3 linked regions of the Arabidopsis thaliana genome follow. The protein of the gene in region 1 interacts with the protein of each later gene in a pairwise test. Each region holds a gene or a part of one and is shown on either strand. Other genes may lie near its edges.

Region 1 (3,746 bases):
TTGCTTAGATGTGCCGAATCCAATTCTCGTTTTTGGGTCTATCTATATTTGGGCTGGGCTTTATAAGAGGCGAAGCCCATGTCGAACAATCAATTTTTTTTTAATTTTATATTTCTTTTGGGAGTCTGTTCTGTCGTATTGATTAATAAAGTAAAAAATCTTAGCCACAAAATTAAATCATCTCCAAGACGTATCAATATCATCATCAATCCACCAATGAAAAGTTCTCTCTTTTTTTTTCCCACTCTTACTCTGTTCTCGCTACAGAATCTCCTGGGAAAAAAAAAAAAGAAACTTGATCCACCCGAATTCCCCAAATCTTCACAATTTCTGGAAACTCTCTCGATCGTGAAGCAGAAAAGTGAGGTTCCAAATGGGTTCTGTTTCGGGTCAAACCCGAATTACAACGATGAACCTCTCGCTCTCAACAGCAGAGAAGAACCCTAATTTCCGCTCGTCGCTTCTCAATTCTAAGGTAATTGTTATCACTTCGTCGAGCTTCACCAAAAAAATGACTCCTTTTGCTTGATTTCTTCTTCTCCTCTTTCGCTTGTGTTTAGAACGCAATTTCAGATACTTTAGGGGTCTCTTCCAAATGCAGTACATTCCTCAGGGGTCAATTTCAAAGAATACATTTTTCTTGGCTACAACACACTCGACCTTTGAGAAAACGAACAGGTACTTGATTTGCAAACCAGACCAATCTCTTTAGAACTTTAGTTGTGATTTAGATTCTTGTTATGTTTGGTTTAGTATTTGGTCACGTGAGCTGCGTCATGCCGTTAACGGAAGAGAATGTGGAGAGAGTGTTAGACGAAGTACGACCATCTCTAATGGCCGACGGAGGAAACGTGGCGTTGCACGAAATCGACGGACTTGTGGTGGTTTTAAAGCTACAAGGAGCTTGTGGTTCGTGTCCTAGCTCATCAATGACGTTGAAGATGGGAATCGAGAGTCGTCTTCGAGACAAGATTCCAGAGATCATGTCCGTTGAGCAGTTTCTTGAATCCGAGACAGGAGGTTTAGAGCTGAACGATGAGAACATTGAGAAGGTTTGGTTTTTTAAAGGTTTAGTTATTTTTGGTTTATTAGCCCCTTGGTTTTGAAATTGATCTGAATGGTCCTTTTTTGGTTTGTTGTCAATTTAGGTTCTCTCTGAGTTAAGGCCGTACCTATCCGGTACTGGAGGTGGGGGGCTTGAGTTAGTTGAGATTGATGGTTACGTGGTCAAGGTTCGACTCACTGGACCAGCTGCTGGAGTCATGACTGTTCGTGTCGCGTTGACTCAAAAACTGAGGGAAACAATTCCTTCTATAGGTGCAGTCCAGCTTCTAGAGTGACATTAACCTTTTTATTTTGTAACTTATATACAAGGCCTATTTTTGATTCAATATATTTTATTTCCAATTATATAATTAGTACAACTAATACAATAACCATTTCTGTTGAAGAAAAAGGAAAAGAAAAAAAAAGTATCCTATGTATGAAGGACATTTTCTCTAGTGATCCTTGTTTTTAGGTAACAGTTATAAAATATTCATGACTTGACTACACAAAGATAATCGAACTTAAAGAGTTATTTCCTTAAACCAATTATTCTCTAATTAAATATGCATTTATAGCGAGTTCTTGGTGAGCAAGGATACTAGAATCTCTATAATAAGTCGGACATAAGAAGATATGAGGAAACACAGACATAACATAGTTAAGAGTTTCAACAATGTCAAAGCTTATAATCAACCGAATATTCAAACCCTCTGTCTGCAAAAATTTCCTCGTACGTAAGCTTCTCTTGCTTTTTCTTTTTAACTTTAATTTTGTTCTTGTTGTCTCTGAATACTTGAACATAACTATGGCAGAGACACGCAAACGTTCGTCTGTTCTCATCTGCAACTCACACGAGTACTAAAGTGAATCAGCCCTTCTCGTCTAAACCAGCCTTCCCGTTTCTGTTGATTGACTACATCCTAAACAACCCAAACTCTTCCTCCGATGGTCGCGTAACAACAAACGTTTACGGTAATGAAAAGGAAGTCTTGATTAAGGACAAGGATCTTAAGGAGGAGGTCTGTGATGCGATGACTGTCGGGTTTTCTCGTGATGGGTTGCGAGTCGAGCTTTGTGGCAACCACGGCGATGTATGTTCTCCCACCATCTTTTACAAGCCTACTGACCCCGAAATAGAAGACTTGACCGTTGATCTACCTCCTCTACCGACGGGTTCACAAATCCAAAGCCTGGTCATGTCCTCTTTACCTAAACGAGACAAAAATTGGGTAGTTGTTGTCAAGTTATTGGGATCTCAGTTGAGTATGTGCAGGCCTTTTGGCAGCCGTAAATGGATCAACATCCAAACCAAGCCTCAGAATATAAACCCTTCATCGAGCATCATGTTTTCCAAGAAAGAGAAAAAGTTCTACGTTCCAACTCCCGGAGGCAACATCTTGTGCTATTTGGATCCTCACTCAGAGGACGACGACCTAATTGATTTCGTGGAATTGGAGTTTGACGATCTTCCAAAATCGGTGTTTCAAGAGTTGGCCGACGTGAGTACATGTTCTAGGACAGACCACCTTGTGGAGTCACCCACCGGCCAACTTTTCCTAGTCAAGTGGTATACTATCTAATTAAAGCTATATATAGCTTTTGTCTTCATAACATATATACCAAAATCTCTAATCCTTTGCTTGAGTATCATATTGGCGCGCTTTATCATGTCTTTGCAGGTATGGAGAGGATTTAGAGGACATTGACAACACCACACTGTATAATGTAACAAAAAAGTTCATGGTGTTTAAAGAGGGAGAGAAACCGAGTTGTGTCTACACTAAGAAGATGATCTATACAGAAGACATTGGAGATCTTTGCATTTTTGTTGGACATAGTGAGGCTTTCTGCGTCCCGGCTAGCTCGTCCCCTGGCCTCAAGCCTAACTGCATCTATTTTGTGGGCTATAACTTTGGTGTTTATGATCTCACCACCAAAACTTGCACTATGTTCCTCACAAAAGATGATAATCCATTAAGGAAATTGGAATTCCCTTACTGGCCTCCTCCGGCTTCCTTTCCAGTACTAGCTCCTAATTAATTATCTCTCTTGCACGTGTTTATGTTTCGCTAATGTTATCGCTGTCTTTGCTTTCCCATGATTTCATTTAAATCCAATGTTCTCTTTTAATCTATGTTCAATGAAATTTATATTAGTGCCTTAAAAGAAGGCGAATCTATCCTACCAAAAAAAAAAGAAGGCGAATCTAAACGAATTCGGTTAATTCATCATATTTCTCAATTAATATACGTAAGACACACTTTGGCACAAAACTTATATAATTATTTATTTCCTGAAACAAGTTATCCTCTAAATATGTATATTTAATGTCCTAAGGTGTAGTACCCTCGGTATTCACTAGACAGAGACGGGGAAGACGAAAGAGTCGCACGTCAAATCAAAATCACAACACATATTTTGAGTGTTGTTACATTATTTTGTGGTGGATCACTATGTGGAGTCACCCTCCGGTGAACAATTCCTCGTCAAGTGGTATATATACTATAGACATTGCTTTTGAATAAACAATTATACAAACTATTAGGTTAATTACTCAACATTTTAATTTGATTTAATGGCTCCTCACCAAACACAAGAAGAGAGGTGAAACATGTTATCTTATTTGTTCTTCCATGCATTTGTTTTTAGGTACGGCCACAACTTAATGCGCAATCACAACAAAGTGGAAACACTCGTGC
Region 2 (3,756 bases), on another chromosome or scaffold:
TTTATTTGACCCATAAGGTATGAAAATCTAATAGCTATTGTGTCTTAAGCTGAGCAAACCATTGCTTATTTGTGCAGCAACCTGAGTTTGTCGACCCATTAAACCAAACTGCAATGGCTTGCCCAGCTTTTCCTTTGTGCCCTCTGGCAATAACTGAGGCAGAGCGCGGGATCCCCAGCATTCTAAAGAGAGTTAGGGCAATGTTTGAAAAGGTAAGATCTCTCTGTGCACTTATCTAATCTTGTGCCATTACAGGCATTTGATATTGATGTGCAAAACTTCTTCCTTGTATCAGGTTGGTCTGGACTACGACGAGTCTGTTGTGATAAGAGTAACCGGTTGTCCAAACGGCTGTGCAAGACCGTACATGGCTGAGCTCGGTCTAGTCGGGGATGGTCCCAACAGCTATCAGGTACGGTTGGAGCACAAGCTCTTGTTACTAGTGATGAGACAGTATAGTAGTAAGCAAGCAGGCTAATATTCTGAGTTGTTGTCGGTTGTGCAGGTTTGGCTAGGAGGAACACCGAACCTGACCCAGATAGCGAGAAGTTTCATGGATAAGGTTAAGGTTCACGACTTAGAGAAAGTCTGCGAGCCATTGTTCTATCACTGGAAACTAGAGAGGCAAACTAAAGAATCATTTGGAGAATACACAACCCGCATGGTAAGTATCACATATAACTTCTCTTTAACTCTCTCACTGTGGCTTGAACATTTATATTGAAGAAGAAGAAAAAACAAATGACTGTGTTTTTTAACTTTAACAATGGTAAAATTGCAGGGATTCGAGAAACTGAAGGAGCTGATAGATACATACAAAGGAGTTTCTCAATGAGCACAACAGAGATCATCTTTCGTTTTATAATTCATGTAATGTAATGTCTCTGTCTGAACTGTTACTCTTCGGTAACTCTGATGGAGAACTTGTTCTCGTTTTGGTTTGATTTTGTACCCTCTTTTTTTTTTTTGTTTTTTTGGATTGCTTTGTCTTTGATTGGATAATGAAGCATTACTGTATCAAGGCTAATTAGCCCATCAATAAGCCTTTTTAAAGCTCTGGATATGGAAAAGTCAGAACCTCTCTCTCTTATCTCTCTAAATTTTAGAGAGAGAGAGATTTTGTTCGATGTTTTGCATGCTTTACCAGCTTATGAATCCGGATGTGATCCGGTTTTGTCGATCTATCTCGCTGTCCTATCTCGCCGTCCGGTGTATCCGGTGTTGTTTACGGCTATCCCGTTGCCGTTCTGTTTGTTTCACCGAATTGATTTGGGAAACAATTTGATATCAGTTTTTTCTTCTTTTCTAACTGGAAATTTTCATGGCCTTCTCTCGATCCGTTCCACCACCATCCACAATCAGGTAAGTGTTTTGGTGTTTCGATTGGGCGACTGTTTTAGTCTCATCCACATGAATCAATATCCAGATTTGGGCGAATTCTGGGTTGCTTGACTCCTTCCAACCGTTATAGTTGAAACGGTCCGGCGTTTTTGACGGCTTCAATCACCTCATTTGAGGTCCGTCTTGCCATTCCAGGAAGTCAAGATATCAATTTCCGAAGTCTATTCTTATTAGCAAGTGATGACAAGAGATCAGAAGCTTCACCTCGTGGTTGATTGTTTGCTGACAACTTCTTTCATGCTTTTGTTCTCGGAAAAGATCCAGTGATGAGAAGAGAAAGAATTTGAAGATTAAATTGAATCTTTTATCTTTTTCGGTTTAATAGTTGTTTGTTTTTATAATCCGGAGATGTTTCCGGTTGTTCACTCGCCGGAAATTGTGCCGGCTTCTGTCTGCATATTTTGCTGAAGGGGTTGTGGGTACCGGTTTACTAGGTTATCCGGTTCACCCGGTTTGTAAGATTGGTTTAATGAATAAAAATCCCTTATGAGAAAAAAAAAAAAGCTCTGGATATCATTTGATTACTCCTCTTTCTAAGATGGCTTCTTATGCTTTTTCTTTCTGTTGTTGCTCAGTTGCTCTGTTTAAATATGGACTGTTTTTTTAACCCACAAGTAAAACATTTTGAGAAATTTACACACCACTGTAATTTTTTAATGTCCACAATTATTTAAAAAAACATATTCACACATAAAAAACAGAATGGACGGGAGGGGTATAACTGGAAATTTTTTCACATCGATTAAATTGGTTGAAAACCTAATCGCCTTAAACCCTAATTGTATCATCCTCTTCCTTGCGTTCTCTCTTTCTCTCTCTCGCCGACGACGAAAACATGGGTGCCAAGGCGAAGAAAGCTTTGAAGAAGAACATGAAGAAGGTTGCTGCTTCGGCTTCTTCTTCTCAGCTACCTCTTCCCCAGAACCCGAAACCTTCAGCTGATTTTTTGGTATTTCCTTCGATACTTTCTCTTACTACCACCATTGTTTCGATTTCGTATCAGACTCTTTAGGGTTTTACATTGAATCTCTCTGTATGGGTTTTTGTTGATAGCCACTAGAAGGAGGTCCAGCTCGAAAAGCTCCAGTTACCACCCCACCTCTTCAGAATAAAGCTACTGTGCTATACATCGGTAGAATCCCTCATGGCTTCTATGAGACTGAGATTGAAGGTATAAATTTACACCCTTTATTATTGTGTTTGCTCAATTTAATGCCCTTTGTTGTCACAAACTTGCTAATATGAATAAACCTTTTTATTATCTATCTATGGTTTATGTGTTTGATAATCTGGTTTTCCTTTCTGGGTTATAGCTTTCTTCTCGCAGTTTGGAACAGTTAAGAGAGTTAGAGTCGCCAGAAACAAAAAGGTTATACATTGATTGATACTTTATTTTGTTTGCTCTTGTTTGATACGATGTGCTCTTTCTTAACTCTTTGAATTTGTATTCGTCTTAACAGACTGGGAAATCAAAGCATTTTGGGTTCATACAGTTTGAGGACCCTGAGGTATACTTTAGATTCTGTATAAAATTGGTGAAACCGTTGTGTGCTATATATATACTCTAGATTCAATTCTTGACATTTTTATTTGGTTCTCTGCAGGTGGCGGAAATTGCAGCGGGTGCAATGAATGATTATTTGTTGATGGAGCACATGCTTAAAGTCCATGTCATTGAACCAGAGAATGTTAAACCCAATCTGTGAGTGATTTTAATCGACTTTTTTTCGTAGTGATCAGGGATCTTCTTTGCAAATAGTTAGTTGGCATATCTAATTGTGTAGGTTAGCTATTTTACTTGGCTGCTTATGTACTTTGTGCTATATTGTTGAATGAAAGAGCTCTATATAACAATATACTATCTCGTGTGGTTTAGCGCAAGCTTTGAAGTACAATGTTCTATGGTTTACAGAGTGAGACTTAATGACATTTGAGTCATAGGATGATACTAGATAGGATGTGATAAAATAAGTGAGGATAAAAGAGAGTTTATTGAAAGATCGTTTTCTTGGCTGAGATGGTTTTATTTATGAGTCATAAAATTAGGGTAAAGAAAATGTGATTCTTGTCCCCTACCTTGGTTTCTAATGACTCCATACTCTAAAAGATGTGCGAGACTCTCTAGTGTTTCCAGAAGAGAACATGCATGACCTATTTTGAGAATTGTTCTTTTCAAGTAGTTGTGGATCTTAATGTATCTATGTCCTGAATGTTATAGGTGGAGAGGGTTTAAATGTAACTTCAAACCAGTGGATTCGGTTCAGATTGAGCGAAGACAACTTAATAAGGTTATTCTCTCCACTTTTCTTGTTATCAATATGCCATTTCTCTTGAACAAGTGGCTCTAACTTTGAT
Region 3 (3,756 bases), 4.9 Mb from region 1:
TCTAATGATCTATATTTTTATCACCGATCGTCTAGATCCGGTATTTAATATTTATGCCAATGGAGTTAATTTGTAAAAGAGAAAAAAAAACAAATTCTATATATTATAATTCACCAGTTAAATTTCTCATACAAGTTGAAGATATACTTTCAAATTATCTAGGCAAAAGTTTTGTACAGTTACGCCTAAAATTTGACAATATTATTTCATCTCCAAGCTTCGAAAGCCCAAAAGAGAAGTGGTCTCTTTCTTTGCCAACCCTAAAAAATCAAATCCATTGCTCATGTCACTCCCCTTGCTGCTACCTCCGACTACATCGCATCTCATTCTTCCGCATCTGCACTCCATGCCGTTTATCATCCCTAAGCTGCACTTGAAACAACGTGGCGTTGTTGACTTTCCATGCCCTTGAAGACGATCAACATCATCAGGAAGACTGATTCTGAGCTCAAGATTCAAATCTGGGAACTTTTCTTGAACTGGGCACTCATCTTTTTCTTCTTTGAACGTAAGCATTGAGATTTTCTCTGATTTTCCCGGAAAGCTTATACTTTCATGGAACGTTTCGACCTTTGGAGCAGAAGTGAATGAGATATTAATGGTATTACTCGTAACTGGTTCTAGTTGTGTAGGTTTAGAATCTTGAGAAGCTGATGATTCTTGGATTGGTCTATGACTCGTTGGATCAATCCCTCTGTTTATAAGCTTTCTTCGTATATGCGTGTTCCAATAGTTCTTTATCTCGTTATCTGTTCTTCCCGGTAATCTCCCGGCAATAAGCGACCATCTATATATCATCAACAAAAAATAACATCATTTAGATAGATTGAAAACTCCAAGATTTTCATTTTGTATAAATTAAAACGATACTAGTTTTTTTTGTTTTTTTTTGGGTATAAACGATACTAGCTAGTTAAATAAGCCCATATTTAGAGAGTATAGTACTCACTTGTTGCCAAGAAGGCTATGGAGCTTGATGATGAGTTCGTCTTCTTCCTCGGTGAAGTTTCCACGCTTAAGGTCAGGCCGGAGATAGTTGATCCACCGGAGACGGCAGCTCTTGCCACAGCGAAGAAGTCCGGCGGCTTTGGGGAGAGATCTCCAGCAGCCTTCTCCATGAGCTTTAATGTAGGCGACGAGCCTCTCGTCCTCTTCTTTCGTCCATGCTCCTTTGTTTGTGTGAGCTTTCTCACAGCACGGTGACCTTCCCATACTTTTATGTTTACTTTCTTTCTTGTGGTTTAGATCTTATTTCGTCTCAAAATCTTATATATAGGCAGATCAATTCTACTTGTTATTTTATATTGAGGGATTGGCTTTTAGCGAGGGTTTTGGCTAAAAGGGTATAAAGGGATTAAGTTGTTTTTTTGTGTAGTGGAAGAGGATTGAAGCATTTGGTGGGGCACTTGGATTTTGGGTTTGGTTGAAGGTTCAAAGCTTTGGTGTATAGTTTATATAGGGTTTTGACTTAAAGCTAGAGAGGAATATACACACATATATATATATACACAAATGCTTCTAGATGATAGAAAAGGAGAGAGAAAGAGAGTTGAACTTATAATTGCTTCTAGATGTGAGTTGGTGGGATGGATTTGAATGAGTAGTGTATGGTGGCCTTTCGTTTTGGTACAATAAGTGAGAAGCTTGACATATATGGCATCATAGTCTTTTGATAAAGCTATGACATTTTTTTAATAATCATGACAACAAATTTAATATTTCTCACTTAAATATATATATATATATATATATGTAATCAAAGAAATTTCTCGTGTTCGTATATACATAAACCAAAATTATTTAGCTACTTCTTTAATTTTTTTTCTTTCTTTTTTTACTTTGCAACAAGTTTTATTTAGTACAAAATATAAACCAACTCTGTCAAGAAATTAATCAATACATGACAATTCGAGTATTCGACTGTGTACATTTATTGACAAATCGTCTTTTAACTTCGACCGATTTAGTACAAACAGTAATTTATTTTTATTTTTTTGGAGTCTCTTACCTATCGTATGAATTAAGTTTGTAGTAAAACTTAGGCGGGTGAAAATTAATGTAGAAAACCTAAAATTCAGTAAAACAAAAAGTTTGTGAATGGCTTTTATCGCCAGATATTATAGGTCACAAGTAAAAATTTGGGTCTAACAAAGGAAGGGGAAACTTGAATAATTTGGTAGCAATAACGAAGAGAAGATATAATGAAGTAGTGGAGGTAGGTGGTAAAGTTAATGAGTGTTTTTTGGACAAGTGCAGGTCAACTATATAGCCTATGAGGTTTTTGTTGTACTGGTCAACAGTCTTTTCTCTAATATATAGACTGCACTGGATTAGTTATTGTTTTTTTAATCAATAATATATCTAGAACTTAACCCTAATACAATCACTTGCTAATTAAACAAAGCATTATCAAATAACTAATTATATGTGTGGGCAGGATAACTTGTAACTTATATATGGTTTTCAAATTACTCTCACCAAATGACAAGCACTTCATGTTTAAAATATTTGTGATGATGCTCATGTTTCTTTAATATTTCAGTATAAAAACAATACAACAAGAACCACCATGACACATACATATAAATTAGAAATATACATATATGATAAACTATTTGAATTAAAGAATGTGCCTTCTAGAACCTTGACTTAGAATGGTTTTCTCTAACCAACTTCTATTTCTTTCATATTAGAGACTTGAAAAATCAAGACTTATTAAGAGATATTTTTTTAATAATGTTGAACTCTAACTGGACGGAATATTATTATAGCACTAATCGTATCTATATTTTTAGAATACGATCGACAACACTAATCATATACGTATGTAGTAATTCGTATGTCAGGAGAATAGTTGAAGAATAGAACACATAACAGTATATAGGAGAGAATAATTAAACTATAGTATCTACTGTGTACTGTCCATGTATGCTAAACAAAAAAAGTTGAACTTAATTGTGAAATTTGGTAAGTTAGGTGGAAAATGTGAGAAGAAACGAAAAAGAATAATGGTTTATTGAAAAAGATGAAAAAACCGAAAAAGAGAGAGAGAGAGAGAGAGAGTAGTTGAATTTCAATTTGTTTAATCTATTGGTACAAAATCACTCACCTCATGCATGATGATGGCCCTCTTCTAGAAGGTTAGGTTCTTAGCTAAAGGCCAAGATTCTTCAATTCATCAACAAAAGTTTACGTCCATTTACATCTGAATCAAAATTAAACCCCAATCAGTCAGTTTTTCACATTCACTATTTATACCCAATTAACTTATTTACTGCTCTTTCTTTTTTCTTGCAACTAAATTGTAAGAGACAAATTCGTAATATTGTTTTATGAAAAACCAAATGCAGCAACACTACATGCAAAACGTTTTTTAACATCATGGGAGAATAATAGTTCTCCAGGTGAATTATTCTCTCTGTTGTTTTTTTTTGTTTTTTTGTTTTAGGAATAATATGTTATTACTTGTTAGTAGTACTACTAATGGGATTGTAAATGACGTGGAGGAAATAGCGATGTGCTATAATATAAAAGCAAAACTTGTGTCACAAATATAATATAGAAGCGAAATCACAATGTACTGATTAATTTGGCATTTTCTTTAAGTAAATATACTGATATTAAAAAAGAGTAGGATAATTATATTATTTAGGTTGCTGCCAAAAACAAAAAAAAACTATATATTATTTAGGTCCGTATGCGGTTGGGACGTGGGATTTGGTTCACCTTCCACTTTATTATTATTGTTTTAATAAT

Evidence for each region.
Region 2: the proteins of AT4G25920 (region 1) and AT5G04600 interact in a two-hybrid assay, tested with the Arabidopsis thaliana proteins (one large-scale study listed by BioGRID).
Region 3: the proteins of AT4G25920 (region 1) and MYB4 interact in a two-hybrid assay, tested with the Arabidopsis thaliana proteins (one large-scale study listed by BioGRID).

The regions. Positions count from the first base shown.
Region 1 is NC_003075.7:13,163,755-13,167,500, forward strand, and holds AT4G25920 (hypothetical protein (DUF295)), read left to right. Parts: upstream 1-1,720; coding exon 1,721-1,777; intron 1,778-1,859; coding exon 1,860-2,614; intron 2,615-2,726; coding exon 2,727-3,087; 3' UTR 3,088-3,118; downstream 3,119-3,746. Other genes in the region: NFU3 (NFU domain protein 3), read left to right, coding at 374-475, 561-678, 754-1,052, 1,149-1,340.
Region 2 is NC_003076.8:1,321,464-1,325,219, forward strand, and holds the start of AT5G04600 (RNA-binding (RRM/RBD/RNP motifs) family protein), read left to right. Parts: upstream 1-2,110; 5' UTR 2,111-2,236; coding exon 2,237-2,350; intron 2,351-2,454; coding exon 2,455-2,572; intron 2,573-2,714; coding exon 2,715-2,770; intron 2,771-2,861; coding exon 2,862-2,909; intron 2,910-3,005; coding exon 3,006-3,103; intron 3,104-3,619; coding exon 3,620-3,689; intron 3,690-3,756. Other genes in the region: SIR (sulfite reductase), read left to right, coding at 78-212, 296-412, 506-664, 782-835.
Region 3 is NC_003075.7:18,051,322-18,055,077, reverse strand, and holds MYB4 (myb domain protein 4), read right to left. Parts: upstream 1,719-3,756; 5' UTR 1,213-1,718; coding exon 950-1,212; intron 788-949; coding exon 202-787; 3' UTR 38-201; downstream 1-37. UniProt on the Arabidopsis thaliana protein: Transcription repressor involved in regulation of protection against UV. Mediates transcriptional repression of CYP73A5, the gene encoding trans-cinnamate 4-monooxygenase, thereby regulating the accumulation of the UV-protectant compound sinapoylmalate.